Tamandua tetradactyla: one gene and its partners. The protein of the gene in region 4 purifies or fractionates together with the protein of the main gene of each other region. This does not show direct contact. Links are inferred from orthologs where the notes say so. Each region holds a gene or a part of one and is shown on either strand. Other genes may lie near its edges. The genes, in order: PATJ, RNF187, PHGDH and YAP1.

The links.
Region 1: the proteins of YAP1 (region 4) and PATJ purify together in Homo sapiens (affinity purification with mass spectrometry; 7 studies listed by BioGRID and IntAct, with this or other methods). This does not show direct contact. The link is inferred for Tamandua tetradactyla from reciprocal best matches to the Homo sapiens genes YAP1 and PATJ.
Region 2: the proteins of YAP1 (region 4) and RNF187 purify together in Homo sapiens (affinity purification with western blotting; 3 studies listed by BioGRID, with this or other methods). This does not show direct contact. The link is inferred for Tamandua tetradactyla from reciprocal best matches to the Homo sapiens genes YAP1 and RNF187.
Region 3: the proteins of YAP1 (region 4) and PHGDH purify together in Homo sapiens (affinity purification with mass spectrometry, with the first as the bait; 4 studies listed by BioGRID). This does not show direct contact. The link is inferred for Tamandua tetradactyla from reciprocal best matches to the Homo sapiens genes YAP1 and PHGDH.

The regions. Positions count from the first base shown.
Region 1 is NC_135328.1:158,446,767-158,454,477, forward strand, and holds the start of PATJ (inaD-like protein), read right to left. Parts: upstream 3,017-7,711; 5' UTR 2,908-3,016; intron 1-2,907.
Region 2 is NC_135346.1:62,360,727-62,367,996, forward strand, and holds the start of RNF187 (E3 ubiquitin-protein ligase RNF187), read right to left. Parts: upstream 3,018-7,270; coding exon 2,904-3,017; intron 1-2,903.
Region 3 is NC_135337.1:989,828-997,140, forward strand, and holds the start of PHGDH (D-3-phosphoglycerate dehydrogenase), read right to left. Parts: upstream 3,022-7,313; 5' UTR 2,857-3,021; coding exon 2,719-2,856; intron 1-2,718. UniProt on the Homo sapiens protein: Catalyzes the reversible oxidation of 3-phospho-D-glycerate to 3-phosphonooxypyruvate, the first step of the phosphorylated L-serine biosynthesis pathway.
Region 4 is NC_135334.1:40,798,961-40,805,811, forward strand, and holds the start of YAP1 (transcriptional coactivator YAP1), read right to left. Parts: upstream 3,020-6,851; 5' UTR 2,870-3,019; coding exon 2,549-2,869; intron 1-2,548. UniProt on the Homo sapiens protein: Transcriptional regulator with dual roles as a coactivator and corepressor. Critical downstream regulatory target in the Hippo signaling pathway, crucial for organ size control and tumor suppression by restricting proliferation and promoting apoptosis.

The DNA of each region.
Region 1 (7,711 bases), on a different chromosome or scaffold from region 4:
GAGCCATGGGAAGGAAGTATAGCTTAGAGACAAAAACAACAGTATAGGGTAGGCCACAGTAGCTCATCGGGCAGAGTTCTCGCCTACAATGCCAGAGACCGGGGTTCGATTCCCAGTGCCTGCCCATGCAAAAATAAATAAATAAATAAAAACATCAGTCCGTAAACCGGAGGGTAAGTGCTTCAGTAAACTAAACCTTCTTAAGAATAAACATGCTCATTCTGCATTCTTACCCACTGCTGTACAATAGAAATATAATGTGAACCACATATGTAAGTTTAAATTTTCCAATAGCCACATGAAAAAGATGAAGAAACAGTAAAATTAATTTTAAAAATATATTTTATTAACCCAATAAATCCACTATCATTTCAATACATAAATAATACTTTAAAATTAATGATATTTTAGGTTTTCACACTAAATCATCTAAATCTGGTGTGTATTTTACATTTACGGTGTATTTCAATTCCAACTAGCCCCATTTCAAGTATCCAATAGCTACATGTGGAAAGGCTACTGCATTGACTCTTTTAACCTATACCTTGGTACATTTTAACAAACTTGCTTATCATTTTCTCTGCTTTTTAGCAAAGTAACTATCAGTTCTTCCCAACAAAAATCCTACAATTCTACTTGACCAGTTTTAAACATCAGTGGAGGAGAATAATGGCTTGTAATTACAAGATATTCTTGAACTTTATTTCATTTCTACCTCCCAAAAACTCAGTGAGGTATTCAGTGAGCTTTATCGAGTTAAAGGCTTGCCAAGAGTTTTATGATAAATGGACTCAACTCCATGTCTCCAAATGCCACAGACTGCACATCTGTATAAATAAAATACAGGTGGACGATACATTTTCAGCATCAACGTGAAATGTCTAAAGGAATGGCATTGAAAAGCACTAAATTGTTCTCCATTTCCACCACCACCTAAAATGGGGTCTTTAAAAAAAAAGGCATCCAGATATACGCAAAAATCCTTGAATAAGAAAAACATGGCTATGGTCAAGCAATCTCAAACATTTAGGTGGAATAGTCCTCGGTTTTTCAAAAAACTTTACTACAAAGGTGAGCAAAGTCTTAACTCCAGTTTGATTTCCCCAGCCTAATGTATTTTTGTTAAACTTTAACAAAACCTTTGGAAGTGGTACAAGTAGGTTCAGACTGCTTGCTTTCGGCTTAAGGATAATTATTAAATACTTTCAAGTAAAAATGCAATTGCAAAGATTACTAACTGCTGAGCCACTGAGAATCACTAAAAGCAAATTCGCTATGGGAAAATATTTTCTTCTTCTTAATTTTAAGACTACTAACTGAAAAAATAAATACCATAATGTTATTAACTCTCAATGGTGAGTGAAAGGGTTTGTACTTTCTTCCTTTTTTGAAAATTCTCCCCAATTTCTCTACTATAAATATACGTAAGTTTTATAGATAGGAAGAAATATTCACATTGTAAAAAAAGTAATAAATACATGACTTGAACTTAAGTCATCTTTAAACACAAATGAGAGCTTAATACAACTTCAACTTCGAACAAGACTATTATCCTGATGCTGATGCCAACCCCATCTTATGTGACACTTAATAGGCTGTAAACTAGCCAGGGCGAATCTCTTCAGATCTCAATTCATAAATGCTATCCACAATATACATTCCAGCTATGATAATTATTAACCTTCTAATTATCACAAAATTTTAAAAATCTTTAAAAATACCATTAGAGGCCTTAAACAACACATTTTAGCTGAATGTAACAACCTCACCTAACATTTTCTGGTGCTGCAAAATGAACCAATTTAAATTTTCACCTCCAGGCCTCCCTAGCTTTCTTTTAAAAGGATGTGTGTAAATGATTTTGACTGTCAAAAGAGTTTAACCTATACAGTTGTTTTGTCACCTTCGTTGGAATTGAGATTTTTTTTCCTTTAGTTTCCAGAAGACTTCGTTCATTTAAGAAACACTTGTGCACTTACCAATAGGCCTAACCCTACTGTAACAGATAAACAAATAAGGCCGTACAAGGAACGCCCCCTCAATAGTGGCGAAAAAATAGTAAACAACTAAATTGAATTCAAAGCGATAAGAGCCACAAGGCTCTCCGACAAAGTGCTAAGGAGCACTCCACAGGGAGATTAATTCAGTCAGCTAGGTGATTTTGGTGGGTGTGCCAGAAGGGGTAGGATTTATCTGGAAATGCTTTTTAGAGCTTGACTTAAATGAAGAATTCCATAATTTCCCCCAAAGGCCAGAGCATTTTTCTCCTTCGTCCGCCCCATCTACGAAGCGAAGGTAGCAGAGCCCAGGCGGGACCGCTGGCCTGGCAACGTCTGCTACGTGACCACCAAGCGCGGGCACGGGCACCCTCTCCTTCCCGGTCCCCCCACCCTCCAACCGGGCACCACTTGTTCACTCCTACCACAGCCACGGCCTGAGGTAAAGACTCCGCCCAGCTCTTGGGGCGAAGAATAGGCAGGCACCTATCTAGGTAGAAAATATGATCCGTGCCACTCCCAGAACAGAACCCGGCGCTGATTTCAGGTCCGGCAGGGCCTGCCGAGACTGGGCAGGTCAGCGAACGGTGCCTTGGAAGAGTCCCGCACGGAGTGTGGGAGACCCGGGGAAGGTCACGCCGAGCCCGCAGGGGGGCAGACGCCCCCGCCCCGCCACCAGAGCCAGCGCTGGCGCTCGCCGCGAGCACCCCTCACCCTCCGCGGCCCTGGCCTAGTGCCGCGGCGGCGCCCTCCGTGTCCTGTCCCCACCCCCTCTGAGCGAACGGCAGATACGCCGGGGGCAGGGCAGGCAGGCGAGGGACGCGAGAAAGGGGCTGTTCCTGGCCCGCCTCGAGGCGCGGGGATCCGCGGCGCTGTGCGCGCCCTCGCAGAAGAAACCCCCACGCTTTACCTGGTCCACGGAGACCTGGGTGGAAGGCCAGGCCGGACGGGATTGGCGTCAGTCGCTCACCTGGGCGGAAGTGAGCGGCCCAGGGTGGCCGCGCCTCACCTGGCAGGCCCGCCCCTCGCATCGATCCTCCCCGCCTGGGGCGGGGCGCTGGGGTGCCGTGGGTGGGGCGGGATTGGGAGAGTGGGGCACCGGGAGGCCGGCTCCCAGGAGGGCGCGGGGGTCGGAGGACAGTCGGCTGCACTACTGTCTCTAGGTGAAATTCGGCTGGGAATGGGGGGGGGTTAAAGAGACTTTAACTGACCCTTGAAAAGTGGGGTTTGGGGTGCAGGGTGGAGATGAGACACCGAGTAGCATGGCAGCCAGCACGAAAGGTATGGGGAATGTGGCCAGACAGATGTATGGGAACTGGGCAGAGAGCAAAACCCGATTTGAAAGGAAATTAAAAGAGGACATTGGTGAAATGATTTGGTCAAATCTACTTAGCCTTTTGTTTTCCCTTTTCCCTCTTTCTGTCCTCTTATCTCAACCTGTCCTTACGTTTTCTGCAGTCCCTTGATTCAATGTAAAATAGTCCAAGATGTATAGCTATGGGGGAACAAAAGGTGTGGTTTGTAGTCTTCTCATTTAGTTGAAGGAGGGAAATACTGAATCAATGGTAGCCCTTACCCTATGCCGGGTGCTAGCTTCCACAATATCTCACTTGCTCTGAAGAAACCACAAATGGGATAGGTTAACTGATTGGCCCAACTCTGGGGACCCAGACCGGGTCACCTAAGTTCGGTGCTGACTTCATTATACATTTTTTCTTGATATCATAACCTCAGTTTGAGAAAGATCTATGCAAACCCCATAATAGCATTATTCCACTCTAATGTAATTAAATTTAGTAGTTTTATGATAGGCATTTTACTTCATCTAATTACAGTCCACAATTAAAGAAAAACGATCCATCTTCAGGTATCTCATTCATCGAAGAAATGCAGTATTCATTAAGCATAGTGATAGGCTCTGTGGGGAGATGTATATAATGGGATCCGTCTTCAAGAAAGATGAAGCATATTTAAGAAATATCTACAACAAAAGGACATTTGTTGTAAGATCATGCACTTGACACACTATATTTTGCGTGTGTTTTTAAAGGAAATACCACTTGTTAGGCCTGGTAGAAATACACAATGTTAGCGTGACCCCTGTTTTTTTTCAACTTTTTTATTGTGTGGTAGAACATATATACAAAGCAAAGAAATAAAAAAGCAATTGTTTTCAAAGCACTCTTCAACAAGTAGTTACAAGACAGATTCCAGAGTTTGTCATGGGCTGCCATACAATCCTCTCGTATTTTATTTCCTTCTTGCTGCTCCTGAGTATAAGAGGCTAGAGGGCTTAAATATTTTTTTTATCATCACAATCGACTTTTTTTCCTTCTTTTTTTTGTGAAATATAGCGTATATACAAAACAGCTATACATTTCAAAGCACAGCACTACAATTAGTTGTAGAACATATTTTAGAGTTTGACATGAGTTACAATTCCACAATTTTAGGTTTTTATTTCTAGCTGCTCTGAGATACTAGAGACATCAATTTAATGATTCAGCAATCATATTCATTTGTTAAATCCTATCTTCTCTGTATAATTTCACCATCACCTTTGATCTTTCCATCCCTCTCTTTAGGGGTGTTTGGGGTATGGTATTCTAAATTTTTCATGTTGGAAGGGGCTGTCACTAATACAGGGTAGGGCGATGGAACTATCTTATGTTCTAGAAAGGTTGACCCTCTAGGTTTCAGGACTTATCTGCACCAGAGACCCATCTGGAGTGCATAGACCCCTTGTGGAATCTTATTTATTGCCCTAGGTGTTCTTTAGGATTGGCTGTAATGGTCCTGATTGGGATTTGGCAGGTTATGATAGGAGCAATGTCTAACTGAAGCTTGCATAAGAGCAACCTCCAGAGTAGCCTCTCGACTCTATTTGAACTCTCTCAGCCACTGATACTTTATTATTACACTTCTTTTTGCCCCTTTGGGTCAGGATGGAATTGTTGATCCCATGGTGCCAGGGCCGGATTCATCCCTGGGAGTCATCTCCCATGTCACCAGGAAGACTTTCACCCCTGGATGTCATGTCCCATGTAGGGGGGATGTCAATGATTTCACTTGCAGATTTGTACTTAGAGAGACTGAGGCCACATCTGAGCACAACAGAGGTCCTCCAGAAGTAACTTTTAAGCATGCCTATAGGCAGTCTAAGCTTCTCCGCTACCCACATAAACTTCACAAAAATAAGCCTCAGGATCAAGGGCATAGGCCCCTGCTTTTAAGGAACTAATAACTGAGAATAATCTTATGCAATAAATTATCAAAAAGAATGAAGCCAGAAACTTCAGAAAAGAGAGATATCTATTATGCTTGTTGAAAGAATCAAGACTTAAATCAGTCTTAAAGGGTAGAAAGAAATGCTTCCTAGTCAGGAGATAGTGACCCATTATCTCAAACAATTTGCAAATATTGGGTCTCTTTCTACTCTAACAGCTGATGATCAACATTATGAACATATTACCCCTCAATCAAAAAAGTCATAGGTTATTGCTTTTTATATATAATGTCATATTTCACAATTAAAAAAGTAAAAAAAAAAAAAAAATACAAACCATAGGTAACTTTGAATGTACCTTGAAACAAAGTATTCTTTCTCTTAGTATTCAAGGTCTTACAAACTCTCCCTCTCTTGCTGACCTATCTCCCAATTCACTTCTTCAGGATTTTACTCTGAACAAACTGGTCCGCTCAGAATCCATGCACTGTACTACACCATGACTTTAGTGTTGGTTACTCATCCTCTTCTCCTTGCCTAGAATTTCCTGTAAGCCCTACACTTCCTCCAGGCCTAGACTCAGTCTCACCTATTGTGAAAAATAGGTGGCCTTCCTGTCCACACAACAAACATCTATCTCCCTCACATTTCATTTAATTTTCATGTTGCTGAATGTGAATTTCCCACAAAGCATTGCTAAAAGAAATCAAAGAAGACCTAAATAAATGGAAGGACATTCCGTGTTCGTGGTTTGGAAGCCTTAATATTGTTAGCATATCAATTCTACTCAAAACAATTTACAGATTCAACGTAAGTTCAATCAAAATTCCAACAACATTCTTTACAGAAATGGAAAGGCCAATCATCAAAATTATATAGAAGGGTAAGAGGCCTCAAATAGCCAAAACCATCTTAAGCAGAAGAATGGAGTTGAAGGACTCACATACCCTATTTTAAAACTTACTGAAAGCTACAATAATCAAAACAGCATGTTACTGGCACAAGGACAGACATATGGAATCAAACTGAGAGTTCAGAAATAAATCCTCACATCTATGGCCAGCTGATCTTTGACAATGATGCCATGTCCATTCAATCAGTAAAGAATAGTCTCTTCAGCAAATGGTGCTGGGACTACTGGATATCCATATGCAAAAGAATGAAGGTGGAACCTTACCACATGCCATATACAAAAATATACTCAAAATGGATGAAAAACCTAGGTACTAAAACTATTAAATTCCTAGAAGAAAACATGAGGAAATATCTTCAGGACATTGTGTTAGGCAATGGGTTCTTAGGCTTTACACCAAAAATATGGGCAGCAAAACAAACATGAAATAAATGGGCTTCATCAAAATGAAAAACTTGTGCATCAAAGGACTTCACATGTAAGTAAAAAGAGAAGCTACAGAATGGGAGAAAACATTTGGAAATCTGATAAAGGCTTAATACCAGAATATATACAGAAATCTTCCAACTCAACAATAAAAAGTGAAACAACCCAATTTAAAAAGGGGCAAAAGGCCTAAATTGACATTTTTCCAAAGAAGATATGTAATAGCCAATAAGCACTCGAAAAGATGCTCAATATCATTGAGTCATTAGGGAAATACAAATCAGAACCACAGTGAGGTTTCTGATTTGTTTCAAACCCACTAGAATGGCTACTATTAAAAAAAAAAAAGAAAATAAGTGTTGAAGAGGATGTGGAGAAGTAGGAACTTGCCTTCATTGTGGCAGGAATGTAAAATGGTACATCTGCTATAGAAAACAGTTTGGTGGGTTCCTCAGAAAGTTAGAGTTACCATAGGACTTGGCAATCCCATTTCTAGGAATATACCCAAAGGAATTGAAAGTAGGAACTTGAACAGATATTTGCACACCGATGTTTATGGAGGCATTATTCACAATAGCCAAAAGATGAAAAGAACCCAAATGTCCATGAACAAATGAATGGATAAACATACATGCAATAGAATGTTATTTGCTCATAAGAAAGAATAAGGTTCTGACAAATGTGACAACATGGATGAAGCTTGACGACATCATGTTGAGTGAAATAAGCCAGATACAAAAATATATGATCTCACTGATAAGACATAATTAAAATAAACAAATTCATAGAGTCAGAAACTAGAATGTCGGTTACCAGCAGCAGAAGTGGGAACAAGAAATGTGGAGTTAATGCTTAATTGCTACAGAGTTTCATTTTGGTTGATGAAAAAGTTTTGGTAATGGATGGCGGTAAGGGTAGCACAATATTTTAAATGTAATTAACACCACTGAAGTATATATTTGAATAGTGGTTAAAAGTGGATATTTTAGGTTGTATATATCTTACAAGAATAAAAATTTTTAAAAACCCATAAGAATTGGCAGAGAGAATTCAAATTGAGTCAAGAAGCTACTCTGGAGATTGCTCTTATTCAAGCTTCAGTTAGACCTTGCTACCTATCATGACCTGCCAACCCCTAACCAGGACCAT
Region 2 (7,270 bases), on a different chromosome or scaffold from region 4:
CATTGCCCTCCCTCCTACAAGGGACACAACATTTATGGGTGAAATTCTCCCTGCAGTGTGGGAGATGATTCCCAGGGATGTCTGGCCCTGGTACCGTGGGATCAACAATGCCATTCTGACCAAAAGTGGGGAAAGAAGTGTTTCAAATAAGGTATCAGTGGCTGAGAGAGTTCAAATAGAATCGAGAGGCTACTCTGGAGGTCACTCTTATGCACACTTCAGTTAAACATTGCTACCTGTAATAACTTGCCAACCCCCCAACCAAAGCCATTCCTGCCAATCCTAAAGAACACCTTCGCCATTATATAAGGTTCTACAAAGGTTCCATGCACTAGGGTAACTTGCAAGAAATCTACAACCTCCAGATGAGTACTCAGACCATGCGAGTCTGAAATGCAGAGGGGTCAGCCTCTCCAGAACATTAACTAGTTCCATCTCCCTTTCCTATACTACCAATACCCCCTTCCAACATGAAAAAGTTAGAATGGGCATAGCCCAAATACCCCTAAAGAGTGGGAGAAAGATTAAAGGTGATGGTGGAGTTATACAGAGAAGGTAGGACTTAACAAATGAGTATCACTGCTGAATCATGATATTTATATTTTTTTAGTCTCCAGTTTCTTGGAGCAGCTAGAAGGAAAAACATAAAATTGTGGAACAGAAACCCATACCAAACTAAAATTTGGTCTACAACTATTTGTTACAATGTACTTTGAATATTTATTGCTTTTTTGTATATATGTTATATTTCATAATAAAAATTGTTTAAAAATTTCACTGAATAAATAAACAAAAAATAATTAGCAATTAAAAAAAAAAGACTAACTTTGAGTGGGTGAAATCACATCTCCACCTAATAAAAAAATCCGAGCCACACTTGTGTGTCACATCTCCATGGAAACAACCTAATCAAAATGTCACACCACAAAAAGAAAAGTCACACCCCAACTGAGCACAGCACATCTCTACGAAAATAATCCAATCAAACTTTCCACCCTAAGTGGTAGGTCTGCCCCCACAAGATTGGATTAGGAAAGAGAACATGGCTTTTCTGGGGTATATAACATCTTCAAACCAGTAACCCTGCCGTTCAGAGGCAGACAAAAATTGGGAGTTTGGGTCTAAAGACATACAGAAGAAGGCATATTTTAAATCGAGTACTAAGTATCTTAGGGCAGAGATAGGAATTTTGTTAAGAAGAGTATAAGGGTTGGAAACTAGAGGATGAAGGGGGAATGGCAAAGCTATTCACAGGTCTGAGGTCCTGTACCAACTCATACGTCCCATGTGGCTTTTTGACAGGCAGGGTAGGGTATCACAGGGAGACTGACAAGTGACTAGAAGGCCAGTTTTCAGGAACTTCTGGGTAAGGGGTTAGATACCCATTATATCTTCAGTTTTAAGAGGGTACTGCTTTCTCTTGGGAAAGGGTTGATCCTGTCAATTGATTAGGATCGGAGAGATGTGAGTAGCGTTTCTGGATATTTCTGTTTCCCATACCACTGGACTGACTTCATTAGCCAGTTCAGGGTGAGACTGTCTGGGTTTCTGGATCCAGCTAAAGCTGGACATACAGTTACAGACACCTCTGAAGCATCCTTAAGACATTGGGTAGGCCAGCAGCCTATTAGCCGGATTTGTGCACCCGATGCCCATTGCAAGTCTCTTCCTAGAAGTGGGCTAGGACACGCTGGTACCACCAAGAACTGATGATTCAAAATTATGCTGCCAATTTGACAAAGAAGGGGCTGGGTGACGGTTTTGGCTTTAGACTTTGGCTTTTACAATAGGACAGACTCACGGGGACATTGGGGCTGAGTAACCGGTCAAACCAGAATAAGTGGCTCCAATATCAATTAAAAAAAATCAATTGCCTTACCTGCCACATTGAAGGTCACTCAAGACTCATCGCAATTGATGTTTTTCAGTGAAGTCCAGGGAGCCACTAGTGGCCCAGGCCTCCTCAATCTTGCTTGGGAGCAGTCACAAAAGCTTTCAGGAGGGTCTCTATTTCCCTCTGGGACTCAGTGCACCCCTGGGCCCAGTGTCCGGCTTTCCTACACCTAAGGCAAGGCCCCAGGGGCTCTTGGTATCCCTGAGGACACTTGTATTTCCAACCCTCCATCTTTCCACACTTGTAGCAGGATCGGGCTGGCTTCTTCCCCAAGTGGCCCCAAGGCAGCTGTTGGCCATGCACAGCAAACACTGTGAGCTGAGCTCTGTCCCTGTCTTTCCTTACCTTACCTTACCTTCCTCTGCAGCCCCGTCCTTTTTATTAAAAACAGAAAAGCAGTGTTTATGAGATCATAGGGGCTTCTGACCCAGAGGCCAGTTCCTTAAATTTCCTCCTTATATCAGGAGCTAACTGACCAATAAAATGTGTAGTTTGCATACACGTTTGGACTGACTCAGGTACTTGTGGGCAGATGCATAAAGTTTAAAATATAAAACCAAACACACCACCCCAGCTCCACACTGTAGTCCCAGCCCTGCTGCAAAATAACTCATTGAGCCTATTCCTATACGCGAGAAATGACAGGAATTTGTTACTTGTTTAAAGAGATTTTTTTAACTAAATGCTAGAATTTGTTCTGGCGTATGAAATATTGTGAAAATTCTTCTGTAGAGGTGACTCTGGAAGACACGGCACAAAATCTGACACTACAGATTAAAACATATATGTATAGTAGACAAAGAGCAGGCCGAGTGTGTCTAATCAGGAATCCAGCTAATCTTTTAGGGTAGTGGACAAAGGCAGACCAAGACCTCCTCCGTCAGGGGAAGGACCTGGAGGCCCAAAGGTGAACTAGTTAGGGCAATTCATTCAGGAATCTGGAATTTCAAATCGGAAACCAGACAGAACGTGTTGGAAAAGCTCCACCTGTCCCCAAATTCTAAAGTACCAACCAAAGACAGTGGGGGTCTGAAAGGGCGGTGATTTCTAGTCCTGGGGCCCGGGTCGCCAGCTCCAGCCCCCTCCCGCGGAAGCGGATCCCGGGACATGTGTTCTCCGGCATGCGGGCGCCTAGCGGTGAGGGCGCATACGAGGAACCGCGCCGGGCCGGGCTCGGCTTTGGGTCTCGGGTGACGTCTTGGGATGGGCACCCGGGACGGCGGCCGGGCTTGCGGAGCCGAAGCGCACGGGAGTCTGGGGGCTCAGGGAGGTGGGAGCGCCAGGATGCAGGATGCTCGGGACAGCGGCGCCACCCACGCTACCTGCAGAGGCCCGCGGAGCAGGAGGCGTCTCCTGCATGTACCCAAATAGGCCGATCTTGATTGGCTCGAAATTCAATCCTCCCGACTCCGATTCCTCCTCCTTTTTTTTTTTGACCGCCTTCGCTCCTTTCCCCTTAGTTGTTCATTTATTTGTATTTCATTCACGTCCGTGCCTTCATGTTTTCTTCCATGTCCTTGCATATCATCGTGATTCTCTAGTAATCATGCGATGCCTTGGGGGAGGCAGGGGCTGGCCTGTGGTGATGTCTGCCCCCGGTGGGTGCCTGGGCAGGCTGCTGTGCGCACCCGCCGCCCTCTCTTCAAGGGCTGTCTTCTTCTCTCCTGAAAAACCTAAAATATCCTGAAAATATAGGAATTCTTTTCATAGACGCTTCAAGTTTCGTGATATGTGTTGACTAGTATCCATATCTCTTCCAAATACTGTGTGAAGCCTCTAAATTCACTTTCAACAACCCTTAAATTATTTTAATAACTATTATGGATACGAAGTAAGAGAAATATATAAGGTTGCGGGGGGGTGGGGGGCGCTTCCTCTGAAAAACTTTTGAGCCAGAAGCGGCTTTGCGAGGTTAGCGGAGGAAACCAGTGACCCTGATGTCAGTTCAGGAGGGAGGAGAACCTTTCTCCAGACACTAGATCGCTGCTTTGAATGCACCTGTAATCCATCACATGCAGCGGGGAAAATCCCAGGAAAGGATAATTTAGCCCTAAGAGTGCATGCACCTGTGAGTGTGCTTGCCGATGCCAAAGACCAAAATCGGGAAGAATTTAGCTTCTATGAAGTCATTAATCTCTGCCTAACGTTCTGAGATTGACACTCGAGTTTGCGCATTTCGCAGGCTCGAGTATTCGTTATTTTGCTCACTTTTTCACAAATTTGTTTTTTTGCCCTTCTATATTACTTGCTGTCCTTTATTCACACCTGCAGCTTGAATTTGATCGCAGCGCTTATTACCGACTTATCAAAATAAAATGTCAATAGGCCCAGAAGCAATTTCTTGCGATCACGGCTCATGCGAAAAGGCCCAGGACAGGAGAACCCTTGAAACGGCCCCAGTGTGACCCTTCTTTGACCAGAATGTGGGCTTTTCTGAACAAGCACTGTGCCTTTGTCCAGTTCTGCCCTGCCCCCTCTCAGTTGAGGAGCTCCCACCCCCAGCCCCGCATTTCTTCCCAGCAGAAAGCCTTGCCTTTAGGAGAGAGGAGGGCTCAGCCCCCAAACTCGGACAACTTGGGGATGTCCCTGGAGAAGCCTAACTGAAGCTGGGAAGGCCAGTTTTCTGCAACACATCTCCCTGGTGACCTTCCGCTGACTAGCTTAGAAACACTTCGACCTTTTTCGGGAGGATGTGAGCATACATTTAGTGTATTTCACATGTTCTATGCAAAATGCCACAGCATCCCATGTAATGTGGTCCATCAGCCTTCTTTCAGCTCTTAAACCCCGAAATGTTAAAACTCTTAGTAAGCCTTTAAACATGCCCTTTCTATATTTGCGGTGGCTGACTCGAAGAGAACCCTCTGGGCAGACTCTAGATATGTTTAGCATGTTTTACTTTAGGTATTGCAGTACAAAATCAGCACTCTCTTGGAAGGTAAAACCCATCTGCCATTTGTTTGCCATTGCAATGCTTTCAAGGTGCCATGTACGTATGCTTGTGAGAATTTTAAAGTGGTTTTCTCTTGGTTGAGGGTGGGAAGAAGTCATGGCCTATTCCACGTGTTCGGAGGCTGTACCCCTTCACTGCACAAATATCCTGGATGATAACATTTGTTCATTTCCTGCATGCATTATTCATTCAACACATTTATTGAATCAGCATTAACACCAGGCACTGGACTATGGAACCATTAAAAAAGAAAAGTAGGTGTCTATGATTTTTATCAGCAAAACTCCTTTCAAAATTGGTCTTCCAGACCATTTACTCTCAAGCAAGCCTGTCTGTCTTACTGGCTAGACTGGAAGCCATTGTTCCCCCCCCCTTCCCTCCCCTTTCCTCCCCTCTTCTCCTCCCCTTTCTACCCCTCCCCTTCCCTTCCCTTTCTCTCCTTTTCTGTTTGGCAATGTTGAACCTTACTCAAGGCCTTTATTTCTGGAAAGGAGCAAAGTTTAAGAAATTCCACCATCCTTTGTATTCTGGAAAACTTTTTTTTTACCAAAAACAACAAGGACAACGTGAAAAAAAAAAACACCCTTCCCCCATATGACTTAGATAAGACTCAGAATGTCCCCTTGTTTACCTATGACAAGGCTGGACACAGACCCTCCACATTCCCTTCCTTTGCCTCATCAATAATTAGCTGGACTGCTGGTTCCCTGCTAATCAATTGCAACAAAATACTTATTAACCAAACATTGCTTAAATTTCTCTCCTTCCCTCTTGAACTTTAATGGTCCCTCCCAGAAAATAGGCTGCTTCAGCATAAAATATTCTCAGATCTACTATTTGATTATGCCAACCTTCATCCCACTTCTTATACCTGGTTCTTTTCTCCCTATAAAAGAAAACTCGTTTTAGCCTACTATGTTATGATCAGAGCATTCTCCCTATTGTGATAGTTCTCCTCTATTTTAATAATCTCTTTCCCACTTTGCAATAATCCTCTTGAATATAGTCTCTCTTTACTAAGTCTGGATTTGTTCTGTTGTTTGATTTGTTTTGTTGTTTGACCTTTTCTTTTCTTTCTTTCTCCCTTCCTTCCTTCCTTTTTTCCCCTTCCTTCCTTTCTTTATTCCTTCCTTCCTTTCTCTCTCTCTCTCTCTCTCTCTCTCTCTCTCTCTCTCTCTCTCTCTCTCTCGCGCTCTCTCTCTCTCTCTCTCTCTCTCTCTCTCTCTCTCTCTCTCTCTCTCTCTCTCTCCTCCTTCCCCTCACTTCCTCCTTTCATTCCCCCCCCTTTTTTTCTTTCTTCCTGCCTTCTTTCTTTCCCTTTTCTTATTTTCTTTGAGGAAAGTTCAAGTTTACCCTATAATGTTTCATCTGCCAATATCACATTGGCTATGGTCCCAAGACAACCCATGAGATTGTTATCCTGGTTTTCTGAAACTAATCAGCCACTAGGTTCAGGCAGAACAATTCTTAAATCTTAGTCCCTTCATCGAAAAGACAATATCTTCCCCCAAACTCATTCTTGGAAAATTTCACTCTAAGTTTTGCTTCAAACCTTCACTAAAGCAGAAGTAAGCCAAGAAATCTCAGCATAGACCCAATCAAAAGGACCCAGCTTTTAAAAATGACAGGGGCAGGGCAGGGCAGGGGTGAAGGAACTGTCAGTGCACAAACCCATGGAAAGCATTCATCCTTAATAAGGTCTGCTGGCTAAGGGGCATGCAGAGCCAGGATCTGTGCAGCTTCTTAGGGCCCTGCACTGAGAAGGGTCCATGTTGCTTTAATACCCTCCTAACATTATCTTGAGATTCTTAATGGTCTTAGAACAAAAGCCCCCCACATTTTCATTCTGCACTGAGCTCAGCAGATTATGCAGATGGTCCTGTGATTTAACTATGTCCTGCCTGATACTCAAGTTCCCTCAGTCACAGAGTCTTTACCACAGATGTCTGAGATGAATATTCTGTTTACAAAAATGTTTGTTACCAGATAACAGTGCCCTGATACGTACAGTGCTTTATCACTGCAGACAGTTTCCACACACATGGGATTCCTTTCAATCTTCCTAGTCACCTAAGGAGGTGGCACTCCATTTTTAATGACAAAGTTAGTGCAGCTCGAAGTGTATTATTATAACCGGAAATCAAGTCAAGTTTTGTTGACTGTGTTTCCAGTGCTTTTTTACTTATGGAAAAAAAGCCAATAAACCTAAATTAAGAAAGATAAGACATAATCAGAATGGCAAGTGTGCTGGTTTGAAACTGTTATATACTCCAGAAAAGCCATGTTCTTTTAATCTTAATCCAATTTTGTGGGGACAGACCACAAGAAAAGAAAGAAAGAAAGGGAGAAAGAAAGGAAGGAAGGGAGAAAGAAAGAGAAGAAAATGTCAAACAACAGAGCAAATCCAGACTTAGTAAAGTTTT
Region 3 (7,313 bases), on a different chromosome or scaffold from region 4:
CTGCTCCTCAAGTTCTCACATGCTCCCTTCCCCAAGGAGGGCAGGCTTAGACCTGGGGTAATTCTAACCCTGGCTCGGGCCACTGATTCTATTAAATCATAGAGGAAGTCAGTGAAACTCTCTTGGCCGTGCTTGCCAGCTGTGGAGAACGCAGGCATGTCCTATTTTGCACACGTGTGATCCTGATTAACTGCTGCGGATTTACCTTTTGTAAAGTAAACGTTAGTGCAGGCTGGGAACGTGCCATTTAAAAGTGCCTTTCAAAAGATGGATTCTTGCATGGAAATTTACTACCTTCATCTTTCCTGAAATTCTAAGATAAAGTTAACAATGTGCTTCAAAAAGTTAAATGCATCACCTGTGATTAATTAAGTGGATTTTATCCAGCTTTGCTATTTAATGAAGCAGAAGAAAATATCGCATGTAGTAAGGATAAACATTATTTCAGGGAACTTTAGTGTGTGGGTGTGCGTATATAAATATATCTGAGAATCTATATGTATGTTTGTACTGCGTTATGATGTAGGATGAATTTCTCATGGCGGGTCATGGTCAAAGCTTAAAAGCTACTGAAATATAATGAGATTATTTTAAACATGTTTTCCTAAATAATAGGTTTATTTAAGATGCAGCACCTACTGATAGAAACGGGGTAAGCAGTCTACTTTGTTGTGTTTCAAACAAGATACTAAATCAGTGTTTTCCAAATTTTTCAACTGAGACCCACAGTAAGACATCCATTTTGTAAGCTGCATTTTTATACTCACATATAATGGAAATAAATTTCATAAAACAACACTCTGCCTTACTAGCATTCTTCAAACGCTGGTCAGAATCCATTAATGAGCTGTGGCTTGCTGAAGCTTGAAAAGCGCCATTCTGGAGGAATGATTATATTTCCTAAACACGGAGCACAGAATGAGCAAACTGCCTACCCAGAATACAAACGAGTGAGAACTGGCACCAATCCCAGTCCTAGCAATAGTGCTAATGATTCCTTCAGTATTCAAAAAAAACAATGCCAACAAGGAGGGGCAGGAGGCAGTATCCCAGATGCCTCTCCACGCAGAGCAAAGCATAATGTGGAAATAAGGGCCCTTCAGTGGACTAAGAGAAGTTTAACCAAATGCTCTCAAAGGTACACATGAAAGCTGCTCTCCCAAAGGGCACACTAGTGCCCAGAAGTCACTGCAGGCAACAACCCACTCCCAGCCCCCTCCTGCCAAGAGTCTGTAAGGCTTTTAAACCATTCTGCAAGTTTTGGCTCCAGATTTCCAGGACTCACCCCATGGACTACCCCCCAACTACAGTGAGACCACCCAATCTTGTGTTCAATTCTGTCCTCCCTGCCCCCCATCCCTCCCCTGGAAGTATAAGATTTCAAACTTCCATCAGAAAGCTGGAGGCTACCCACAGCAAGGCTCAGTCCTGGAGCCACTGCCTGCCACGCCAGCCCACGATGGTCACCCGCTTCTCTACTTTCCAAGCAGGCCAAGGCTAGGCTGCTGTACCGCCTCATGTAGCCTTTAAGTGCAATGTCCATTGTGTCACAAGGGGTAGCGGCGCTCCCTAACAGCGCGCTGTTTGTAGAAAGGGACCCGTCAGAATCTTACTGCGGATCCAGGCCTGGAGTTGGATACCTGATGCAGCCCCATAGGCTGGGGGCAGGGGCATTCCAGGGGGCAACACAGCAGCAGGTGCCAGAGCAAGCAGGAAGGGCACAGGCAATTTGGAGGACCACGCGGTTGGAAGGCAAAGAAAGCATCAGCTGTTACCTCGGCGGTTTCTTTGAAGGGGTCCTGGGAGGAAAGGATGGCAGAGGGGGTGCACGAGTGCGGAAGCTGGTAGGCAGCAGGAGGGGAATACCCGGGAGGGCACGGGGTGCGGGGCAGCGGAAAGAGGCGCAGGAACTGCGGTGCAAACGTTCGCAAAACAAATGCCCTAAATTGGGCCAAGGCCGCCCAATCTCGCAGGAGCTTTTCAAACAAGGGAGATAAAGATTTGAAGATAAAGCTAATTAGGCATCACAACAAAAAGAAGATAAGTTGCCGAGAAAGAGTTGCTCGGAGAAAAAAATCCATGCCTGGGGGCGTGTGGGGTCACATTCCAAGTCGGGCACGGCGGGTCCCGACCGCCAGCGAGGTGGGGGGGTCAGGAGGAGTCCCCGTGGCCCGGACCGCCTCGTGGGCGCCCCCCCTTTCCTCTGGGCGTCCTGGGGCGGCCGAGGGGGCGGTGAAAGCCGGCCGCAGTCTTGCATCAGACGAAAGGCGGGTGCAGCGTTTGCTGCTCCAGCGAGGCCGCCTTCCCTGCGGAGCTCCCACGGCAGCCACGCGTCAGGCTGGGGCGCCGCCAGCGCTCCCCGGGCCGCCCAGCGAAAGTTCTGGGCTTCCGTGGGGCGAGCCAAGCCCCGATCCCGGGGGGAGCGCGTCGGGGCCCGGGCGGGGGGGTGGGGGAGGAGGCGGCGCGCGGGTATCCGGGGCCAGCGCTTCTCGTTGCTGCGGGAGGCGCGCACGTGGGACGCGCTGCTGAAAACTGCACAAGTTTGCATCCCGCCGCCCGCCGCCGGCCAGCCTCTGGAGGCCCCCGACTGACTGAGTCGGGGCGAGGGGTGGTGGTAAGGGACCCTGGGGCGGGGGTGAGGATGGTGGGGGGGGGGCGCTACCGCCGGTCCTCGGCGGAGGGTGCCCGGAGCGCGCGCCTTTCTGCCACCCGCCTGACCTGCAGCTCGGCTATCAGCTCCTCCTGGCTCAGGTTCTGCTTCTCCACCACCAGCAGCCCCCCCTCCTGCAGGATCTTCCGGCAGCAGGGATCCAGGCTGTCGCTGATGAGCACCTTCCGTACGTTTGCAAAGGCCATGGCTGGGGCTGATCTCGGAAGCCGCTGCTCCCTGCGCGCGGGACCTCAAACCCAGAAACACCGCTCCACCTGGGGGCCGGCGCCGCTCGAAAAGCTGCTCGGGCTCCCGGGGCCCCTTTATCCCCTTTCTGCTCCTACCATCTCCTTTTGATTGGGCGGAAATGTTCAAACTCGCCCTGACTCCGCCTCCCGCCCGCTGCTCGGAGCCTCCCAGCAACCCGCCTGCTGCATTGTTCTCCCACCGCGGATTTCTCGGCCGCGCTCGAAGCTCTTCCCAAAACACAATTTACCCTTATTTATAGCCTCGTTCTGATCCTGAGAGAAGAACTTTACTTCTTCCCCCTTTAGGACTCGTTCATGAATTCCTGCGCGCGTATGCGCAGACTTATCGTGGGCAAGGTTCTGTGCTGAGTCCAGGAGGAGGCTGGAGTGTCAGAAAGACGAAGCCCCTTTTCTTGGGCAGCTTAATACCGAAGGGCACCAAGCACGCATTCACGGCAGGTTACACAGTAAAAAAGTAATGCGGAACTGTTCCTGAGACCTCTCAGATCAGCAAGTTTCTAATTTCAAATGAACGGTACAGTGAGAATTATGAGTTTAAAAGACATCAAGGACTTTAAATCAGAATTTTTGGTTCACCTTTTATTTTCTCTTCTTCCTCCACTTACCCCTCTGATTATGAAAAAGAGGGAAAGGAAAATGAGATGTCAGCCTGGCCTCGTTTATGTACTGACCAAGGCGGCACTTCCTAGGACTTTGTTTAAACCCCACAACCACAGTGTTCTTGGGGTTTTTTTTTAAGGTTGCCCAGGACCAAGCAGAATCAGGAAGGCTCAGCAGCTTGATTTGAATTCAGCTCTATAGACAGTGTAGTTAGCAATTGCGTGCCCTTGTTCTATACCATTCACAAAACTGAACTTCAAGACCCTTATGCTATAAAACTGCAGTATTAATCCTATGGAGTTAGCATTTTTGCACGGATAATTCCTAGATAATGGGTTCCATATCAGATTTTAGACCAAATGCTCCCCGTGGGAAAGTATTTTGTCTATCCTGTTGATTTGTTGAGAAATTTTGTTGTTCACACTTTCTAGCACTCCAGTGTATTCTCTCCTTTTCTCGTTTTCTCCGGAACTGCCCAACAGCCCTAGGAGCTCTTCCCTCCAGGGTAACTTTCTTTCATGCCTACAGAATCCCCTATGCCCATTTCAGTGCAGAATCTAAACCCTGCTGTCTCTTAAAGTACAATCCCACCCCTTTCCACCAAGTCAAACCTCTTTACTACTATCTAACAACCCTGCACACAGAGACCCTCTATTATCTATGCCCCACCTACTTTTAAAACGAACTTAAGTTGTTCAGTGAGAGGCGCTTCTGAACCTATTAAGCGAAGAGTTAACAGACAAGAGTCAAACAATTTCCACATTGAAAGGAGAGGGGGAGGGGTCATAATTTTTACTATAAAAAATCAGAAATGGTCCCTCCCTTTTTTTAAATTCCTAGGCACTGTCTTCCTTATCTCCCAGTGCCTTGTATAATATGCATTTGTACATTGTCTTGTCCCCTCCCACTCTCATTTCCTTAAGATCAGACATAGCTTTAAATATGTTCCCACTCGGTCAGTGCCTAGTAACAGGCTCAGGAGAGTTTCATTCAAAAACTGATCTTTAGGCGGAGACCCAGTTCGATTCCTGGTGCCTGCCCATGCCCCTCCACCCCCAAAGAAAGTTAGTTTTTGACCACCTACTATATGCCAGGCATTGTAGTTTGAGACTGGAGATAGGATGATACATGAAACACAGACTCTTTCCATAAAATGAGAGAAAACCAACATTTAACATCTAAAATTGATGTGCTGAAGGGCTTTGGGAGGGAGGAGGAAAAACACCCAGCACAGCCTGAGGACACCAGGGAGTTCCAAGCAAAGCTGCCTTTGAGCTGACCCGTACCCAGCAAATTCCAGGGGATGAAAAAAAAAGCGAGCTCATGGTCAAGTGCCTCGTCTTGAATAGGCAGCTGGATGGGAAGAGCCAGAAGACAGAGAAGAAAGAATGACATTTACAACCATCCAGAGATGGGAAGAATTGCCGGAGGTTCATGGCGACTTTTCCTCTGGCTGGGAGCAGGAGATAAGACTGTCAGGGGCCAGGTCCTGCTTACCTGAGGAGTTGAAATGCTAAAGGCAGTTCACAGGCTCTGAGTGACTTTTTTAAGAAGTGAAATGATTACATGTGCTGGCTGAGCTGAGCAATTATGCATACTTACACTTCTTGTATACTGATACTGCTAATGAAGATAATAAATCCCCCACTCCGCTCCACCCCCAACCAGCCTGGAACATCTAATGCAAGGTGAATGTTTTTCTCTTATCCTCCAGGATTAGAGCAGGGGAGATTTTCTCCTCCCTACATTACTGCCTGCATCCATAAAACAAATACTTTGTCCCTCTTGGATGTATTGGGAAAAATGGCTCAGCCGTCCTCCCCAGACTTTCACTCCTTTCTCCTCCCCTGGCCCCCAGACCTACCCCCCAACGCCCTGGGAAGAGAGAGACTCTTGTGATTAGCCCGCCTGAGCTAAAGGTCGTTTGTTCGTCCCCAATCCCTCCCCTTCTTGGCTCTTGCCCACCGCAGCAGGCCCTACCTCGCTGCACCTGACATAGTTGTTCAGCTGCTCTGCCTGTAGCTGTGAAGATAAGGGTAATAGGGAGAGGAGGAGAAGTAGGAACCCCCTTTTCTACATGGAGCCCGGCAGTGATCTCTAAAACTCGCATTTTCAGTAAGAAAGCAGACATTTTGAGAGGCAGACGATTGTCAGCCTCAAAACAGAAACGTCTGAATTTTAATTCCAGATTCTCGAATCCGGAATGTAACCGTAGACAAATTACATAGCCTCTCTAAGACTGAGCTTCCTTCTGTATAATATGGGACTAACAATAGGATAGTGCTTACTTCGGAAGTTCGCTGTTAAGACTAAATGAGACAAAGCATGCAAATAAGTGTAGTGTATTATAGTGCCTGGTACTCATCGTTCATTCATTGCATTCAATCAGTACTTGTATTTTGAGATCCTGTTATGTGCCAGGCAGTGCTGAGGATTCTGGAAACAAAGCTTAGAACAAGACAAACACATGTCTCTGTTCTCATGGAGCTTATATTCTGATTGGGGATAGGAAATAAATAACTGACTGAACATCATACTCAGGATAAAAGTATGATGAAGAACATAAAGCTGAGTTTCCAGTTAAGAATGGTTAGAATAGCAAATGTTATGTATATATAACACAATTAAAAAAACTTAACACCAAAAAAAAAAGGATATAAAACGGGCAAATGTGATACAGAGGATAGGGGGATGGGGGGAGAGGCATCTATTTTAGACTTTATAATCAGAGAAGGCGTTTTTGAGATGATGAGACCGAAATAAAGATCTCACTATGCAAAGAACAAAGGAAAGAGACTTCTAGGTAGAGAGAAAAGCAGAATCTGTCTGGAATATTCGAGGAACTTGCCTGCAAATATTTATGTAGCACTTAAGTATAAGCCAGGCCTTGCTGGACACAGGGATTGCAATGCTGGACGAGTGACCCAAGTTCTCTGCTCTCAGGGCCCTTGCAATGCAGCGTGTGAGCCGGGGTGCAGTGTCTCTGTCCTGGCTGGTCAGGAAGGTCTCTTTGAGAAGGTCGCTCTTAAGCCGAGACCCGAAGGTGGAGACAAAGCCAATTGAAGGACATCTGGAAGAGTATTTGGAGCGAAGGGAACAGTTAGAGATCAAGTCCCGTGGGTAGGATAGAGCATGGCTTCTAGGAACTAGCAGAAGGTCAGAGCTCCTGTAATATGGTAATAAAACAGGAGATGACGTGGGGGAGGTTGGCAGGGGCAGATCGTTCAGGCATTGTGAATAGTCTGGATTTTATTGGATGCAACAGAAACACAATTTAACCAGGCCTAAGTAAAAAAGGGAATGCATTGGCAAAGGTGTCCAGAAAAAAATGAAGTGTGGATATTATTAGGTATTCAAGTTGTATCCGAGAAGTTAAAATTTAGGGGATAATTATGATTACCACATGGTCATATGGTATTTCTTTTTCACTTTCTAGTATAGTAGACAGAGGGAAATACGTGAAATCTCTGGACTCTAATCCAATTGCCTTGATCTCTGATAATGATTGTATAGCCTTTATCTCGTGTCCTTGTGATTGTAAAAGCATGTGACAGACCCTCACTTGTACCCTTTTCGTCGGGTTTTTAAGGTTAGACTCTTATGCTCACTAGAGACAGCCCCTAATGTTTATTAATGAAAGGCCTCCAGTCGGCCCAGCATTAACTAACCCCCACCCCACCCCAATTCCAAGGTTATCTTGATAAACGGAGCTGGGTCTAACCAAAATGGGCCCGCCTGACATGTACAATAGTGTAAACTTTAACCTCTAGGGAACTTGCCCTCATTATAGTTCT
Region 4 (6,851 bases):
ATTAATTAATGTTTTTTCTAGGCCAAATCTTAAACCATGTCAAATGTCATTTATACTCACTATAAACAAATGCCATCAATAAAGTAATCATCACAAGTTATACAACTTTTAAAGAATGCAAAAAGATCCAGAACCACCCCAAAGTTGTCTTTTTAAAGCTATCTTAATGAATGAAATGAAAAACCAACCACATCTTTTTACCTACATGACAAAGATACTAACAGTTTAACTATTTCTTATATAACTTAAGAGCTAACACACTTACATATTTATAACCGTGTAATAGCAAAAACTTTTCTGCACTCTGACCCCTAAATAGCTGGGTTCCAGTCCAAGCTACTCTAACTTGCTGACTGTATGACAATGAACAATGTCTTAACCTGCAAACCTCAGTTTTCTCTATTTGTAAAACGGTTTTTTTCATGATGGAAAAATGTGGTAATAAATGAAATATACACAAGAATTTACATTAAGTAGTTTGTGGACAAGAGTATTTACAGCTCAGGTTCAATCTATTCATAATTTAGTAGTTGTTTAAAATCCACTGATTAGAAAGAGGGTTTGATTATTAAAAAGTCTCAACTACCTAAATTCATAAAGGCAAAGAAGGGAGACTGGGAGGAATCTGCAAAATCATTTATACCTTAAAACTAGAGTCAAGTTTCCAAGAAAAAATAAAAGTTAAACTTACAGATGCACAACAGTTCAGAAATTTTTAAAAACAAACAAAACTATAGATTATAAATAGTAGGAATCTGCCAGGTAAATACTATTATCCACAAACTGATGGGTATAAGTTCTTGTGTAAATATTTTTAGAAGAATAAGTATACTTTTCAGTTGAAATTTTTTTTACTTTTAGTGTATTATGCTTTCAAAACTTATTAAGTAACCAGCAGCATAGCTGTGTGCTCTGTAGGATGCATGCCAACATGCATTTACCCATGAGTCCAGATGCCAATTTGCAGGTGTGAGAGAAAAAAGTTTACTTGAGTCCACTACCTCTTACAAATTGAGTATTTATGCAAGCAGATAAATTGTTTTTCCTTCCTCGTCCTTAACCCCGGTTTTTGTCAGCAGGTTGAGTGAACTTTTCTGAGTTCCAAAATCTCTTAAGTCTGCCGCAAGAGAATATATAACAGGCCTGCAAACAGGAGAGGGAAGGAAAATGGGGGCGTAACTCTTCTTTCCACTCAAGTTACAGCCCGAGTGGACTAACTACAGTGCAGTATTTGGAAAACCAATTAACTTTTGGACAAAGTTTCTATGCTGAAGTTTAGCCTGAAGCAAGTTCTTAAAAAAAATAAAATCTCCACAAATAAATCTGAGACGTATCGGAACGTTAACACTGTCAAAATAAAATAATTTCACTTCAATATTAAATCAAGTTGACAAAATAATCGAACGTTGTCTAGGTGGGAAAGCAGCCATGTTCACATCCTCAAGAACTAAAAAGCAATGGCAATAAAAATAAAAACTTAAAAAAAAAAAAAAACAGAAAGCAATGGCGATCCTAGAATTAGTCATAGCTTCCCAAACATTAACTTTTAATCACAGTTGAACTAGGCAGGACTCTGCCTATGAGTCAACCTGCAGAGTATTATTTAAGGCTGTGTTAAAACCTCGAGACGGGTAATGCGCAACTCAGTGCCTGGGTAACGTGCAGATGTGGCTAATTTAAAAGCATTTCAGCAGAATGTAAATAGTTTACAACTAGGAAACCAACACGTGAACCTACTAGGTTTAATAAGAGAGGGCCTGCCCGAGTTCCAGGTCTCAAGGGAAGCCAGGGGTGAAAGATCTAACTCCATAAACAACTTCCAGGAAAGCCTGGGCAGGGGAAGCCCGGATCCTGTATTCTAAAACCTCCGGGGCAGTGAGGGAAATAAATGCCTTCGGCCGGGGGAGGGGGAAAAAGAGCAAGAAACTAAATGGACTGGTTCAACCCCCACCCTCTAATCAACACTGGAAAACAAGAGAACAATTATTTGACTCCCCAGGAGACTGAAGTGAACCAGGAGGCCCAAAGGAAAGGGGGCCCAGGGCTCAACTTCACAAACTCGGCCGCCGCTGGCAACTCACCCACACACAAATGCCAGAGGCCCCCCTCCCCCTCCCCAGGCGCGGCGGGAGCGAAGGTGCGGAGCGCGCGGAGGCGCGCGCATTGTGCAAGCCCACCGCGGCCCGGGCGGCGATTCTCCCCACCCCCTTCCTTCCTCCCCACCTCCCCCTCCACTCCCGCCAACCTCCTGGGAACCCCGGGAAGAAAGAAAGAAAGGAAGAAGGGGAAAAGCACACTCCCCGGGGCTGCAGCCGCAGAGAGAAACTCCAAGGGGAAAAACAAATCTCGGCCCCCGACTCCCGGACTCGGTAACGGCGGCCGCGCGGGCGCCTGGAGTTGGCACACCTCACCGGGGAGAGTCCCCCTAGCCCCCGACAGACACCCCGGAACACCCTCGCCCCGGCCCGGGCTACGATCCCGATCCCCCGACCCCGGCCCAGGCCTGGGGCCCGCCCGACGGGGATGTGGGGAGAGGCGGCTAGGTTACCTGTCGGGAGTGGGATTTGGGCTCCGGCGGCTTGAAAAAGGAGTCGGGCAGTTTTCGGAGCCTCATGGGTACGGTTTGGGGCACGTTGGCTGTCTTGGGGTTCATGACGGCGTTGAAGAGCGCCTCCAGATCGGTCTCTGAGTCCCCCCGGACGTGCACGATCTGGTGCCCAGCGGGAGGGGCCTGCGGCGCCGCCTGGGACCCCGGGGGCGCCGGCTGCCCGGGCCCCGGCTGCGGTCCCTGCCCCTGGGGGGTCTGCGCGGGCGGCTGCCCTTGGCCCTGGGGGGCCGGCTGAGACGGCGGCTGCTGCCCGGGATCCATAGCTTCTGCCTCCCCCGACGCACACCCCCTAACCCGGCGGACGAGGGCTCCGCCCGGACGCCCCGGCTCGACGGGCCGAGACGCGAGAAGCGGCAAGAGCTGCGGGCCGGGCGGCGCTGGGCGTCGGGAGCGGCGCTCTCCTCGTTCTCAGGGCCGGGGGGCTGCGCGGCGGCCCCGCATCCCCCGCCCGGCGCCTCCGCCCCCGCCCTGCGCCCCGGCTGCACTGGTCTGGCGGCTGCGCTTCGGGAGGGGCTGAGAAGGACCCGGACCTGCGGCGCCTGAGAACTTTTTTTTCCTTCACCTCCCTTGACGGAGGCCGAACAGCTAGCTGCTTATCCCCTCCCCCTTTCTCTTTTATTTCCTTTTCTTGTTCCTTCCTTCCTCCCTTTCTTTTCCCCGGCGGCGACTGCGCCCGACTGAGACAGAAACTCGGCTCAGACGCCAAAACTAAAGTTGAGAGAACTGCCCGCCCGAGCCACTCGCCGGCTCCGCCTCCTCCCGGCTCTTCCTTCCTCTGCGCGCCCGCCCGCGCCGAATCCGCGACCAGCCGCGGAGGGAAACTTTCCCCTGCAAGTTACTACATTCCTGCAAGTTACTACATTCCTGCAAACTCCCGGCCGCACGTGACTAATTTGCCCTCAGTCTGGTCCTCCGCTGTGTATCCAGGGGCAGAAGCCGGGACGCAGAGGGCTGCCGGCCGGATGGAAACACTGGGCCCTCCTGGATCCGAACTGTGGTTGGTCTCTCTGGAGAACGCGGCCCGCCCCGCAGTCCTCGGGAAAAAGCTGCTTCCTCTTGCCTGGAGATACGAAATGGAAGGCCGAAAAAAGTTGGTATAGAACGTGGAAATCCATTTAAACCCGCCCCGCGTTAGCTCGATTTAACCCCACCAGTACTGCCAATTCTGGGTTAAAGCCGCAAGAATAGGTTGGAGTTAAAACAGATACCAGTAGCAAGCGCCGCTTTTAATAAAAATCTGTTTTTTAACACTAAGTTGGATTTGGTATTTTTTCACTCAGCTTTTAGCATGTGAGTATCCACTAGAAAGGGATATATGATTGCAGTGTTTAGATACTTCGGGGCATTGTGACTGCCTGCCTCTCATCCTGTCCGGTGAATTAAAGTACACGAGTTTCATTGTGTTTTTAAGTGACATCAACTATTGTAGCACTCAAACTTGCAACATAGTCACTGAAAACCTCAAAGCGAAAAATCAGTGCTACCTTTGGTTACAAACTTTCCTCGGTGTACCTGCCTTTCTTTCATCCTAGAGGGGGTGGGAGTCTACCCCTTTTTATCACTGTTGCTGGTACAATGCAGGATTCGGTGGATGTTGACTGAATGAGAAATGAATGGGCCAGGAGTACACCACTGGTCCTCAATATGGCAGTGCCATATATGCCTGGAAGTCACTTGAAAGCACCCAGGAGCAATCAAAATTTGTTTTCAATTTGTACTACCACTCTTCATTTTTTAAGAAACAGCTTGAGATATAATTCACATACCATACAATTCAGTCCATATAAATCAATGTTTTTTTTTTAGTTTACTCACAGGGTTGTGCAACATCACTCTTTAAATCTACTACCCTTTCTAAAGAAATCTGGCTGCTGCTTTTCATGATTTTATCTGCAATGCTAGTGAAACAAAGAAAGATGTATAAACAAGGAAAGAGCCCTTGACAAAAAAAAGATAATCTCTTCCTCCAGGATGTGCCCACAGAAATTCTGAGGGATCTGGTGGTGGAGCCGTGCCAGAGGATGATATTTCAGACTGCCAAGCTTCTAATGCCCTATGTTAATCAAGTGCTCTGGACCCCAATTTCCCATCTGAAGAAGAATCCCAGCATAAATGATGCCCACGACCCCTTCTTGGATTTTACCCCCTCTCCAAATGTCAGGTGCATTTAATCACAAGTTTGTGGGTTATGGAGTTATAGATATTTGGCTTCAGGTCCCAATTACACCATTACTAGCTGAGACATTAGACAAGTTACTATTTCCTCATCTTTAAAACTGGGGAGGAGAAGGATAATAATACCTACCTCATAGGTTGTTGGAGTATTAAATGAGTCAATGGGGATAAAGTGCTTAGCCCAGTGTTTAGTGTATGATGAATAATGTCAGCTATTAACACTGTCACATGTTCATACATTACTTCTCTCTCTCTCTCTCTCTCTCTCTCTCTCTTTCTCTCTCTCTCTCTCTCTCTCTCTCTCTCTCTCTCACACACACACACACACACACATACACACACACACACACACACACACACACACACTCCATGATATGGCCTCTTCTTTAGAGAGGAGTAAGGGTCCCTCTCTAAGCACAGCGTTATTAGCTGTCCTTGCTGGGATCTTGGCAGACCATTCCTCTCACATTCAACCATCCATCCATAGATCATTTGGGTAGAAACTATGCATTTAAAACTTTGAATGAAAATATTTTAAGAAGTAAAGTGATTGAAAATCTGAAATTGTAATGGAAGCTGTCCCTTAACTACAGCATCTACTACTGTGAACACTACAATTAAAGGGCTTAGGATAGGTACAGCAGAGGTTGCTTTGTTCAATATTGTTTCACCTGCCATTGAAATTGTGACAAAATTACTTGGATAAGTGGATTGGAAAGTTGTTTGGAGTGATTTTATGTTCTCTAAGTACCTTTGTACCATCAACCAGGATTTTTTAACTTGGTATTCCTCACCTATAAAATTTCAATCAGGTTAGAAAGGGATAAAAATAACATGTATTCAACACATTGTCCCCTCTCTCCATCCCCTTTTGGAATAATTACCAGTTTACGAACCTTAAAATGGAGAGACACCTTCTTCATATAAAGACTTACCAGGATAATTTCCAACGTCCATGTAGGTTATCCTCTCAAAACACTACTCTTAGAATTACTTGACCTCTCAACTCCACTGAATCCTCACCTCCACCCCACTTCAGCCACCTTCTCCTGTGTCTGCACCCTAACATCATCCCAAAATAACTCAGTCTTGAAATCAAACTCTTTTCTTAATTGTGAAAAATAACCTATATACAAAAAAAGCAATAAATTTCAAAGCACACCCCAACAATTAAAGAACAAATTCAGAGTTTGGCATGGATTATAGTTCCACAGTTTCAGGTTTTTCCTTATAGTTGCTCCAGATACTGGAGACTAAAAGAAGTATCAATATAATTCAACAGTAATACTCATTAGACAATTCCTATATTCTCTGTTATAACTCCACCTTCTCCTTTGATCTTTCTCCCAATCTTTAAGGGTATTTGGACTGTGCTCATTCTAACTCTTTCATGTTGGAAAGGGCTATTGATAATATGGGATGGGGGGTGGAATTACTTGATGTTCTGGAGAGGCTGGCCCCTCTGAGTTTCAGGACCCCATCTAGAAGTTGTAGGTTTCTGAAAGTAATTATAGTGCACAGAACCTTTGTAGAATCTCAGATAGAGCCCTAGGTGTTCTTTAGGATTGGCAGGAATAGTTTTGGTTGGGGGTTGGCAAACCATGGTAAACAGCAATATCTAGCTGAAGCTTGTGTAAAAATAGCCTCCTCTCGACTCTATTTGAACTCTCTAGTTACTGATACCTTATTTGTCACAATTCTTTCCCCCCTTTTGGTCAGGAAGGCATTGTCAATCCCACTGTGCCAGGGCCAGGCTCATCCCTGGGAGTGAAATCCCATGTTACCAGGGAGACACCCCTGGATGTCATGTCCCATGTAGGGAGGATATATCATTCTCTTAATATCCAAATGATCTTGTTTCATTACTCACACTGCATTTACAATGACTTCTCTCCTTTCTCCCAATCTATCACTCTCTCCTGTTTTCACTTCCTTTTCTATTCGTTTAGAGATAATAATCCATTGCTTCAACCTCTCATAAATATCTATGCTCTCAATTCCATTGCCTCATGTTTTCAATGAGCAGGATCTACTAAGCTGGATTAATCCAATTATCAGTCTTTTCCAC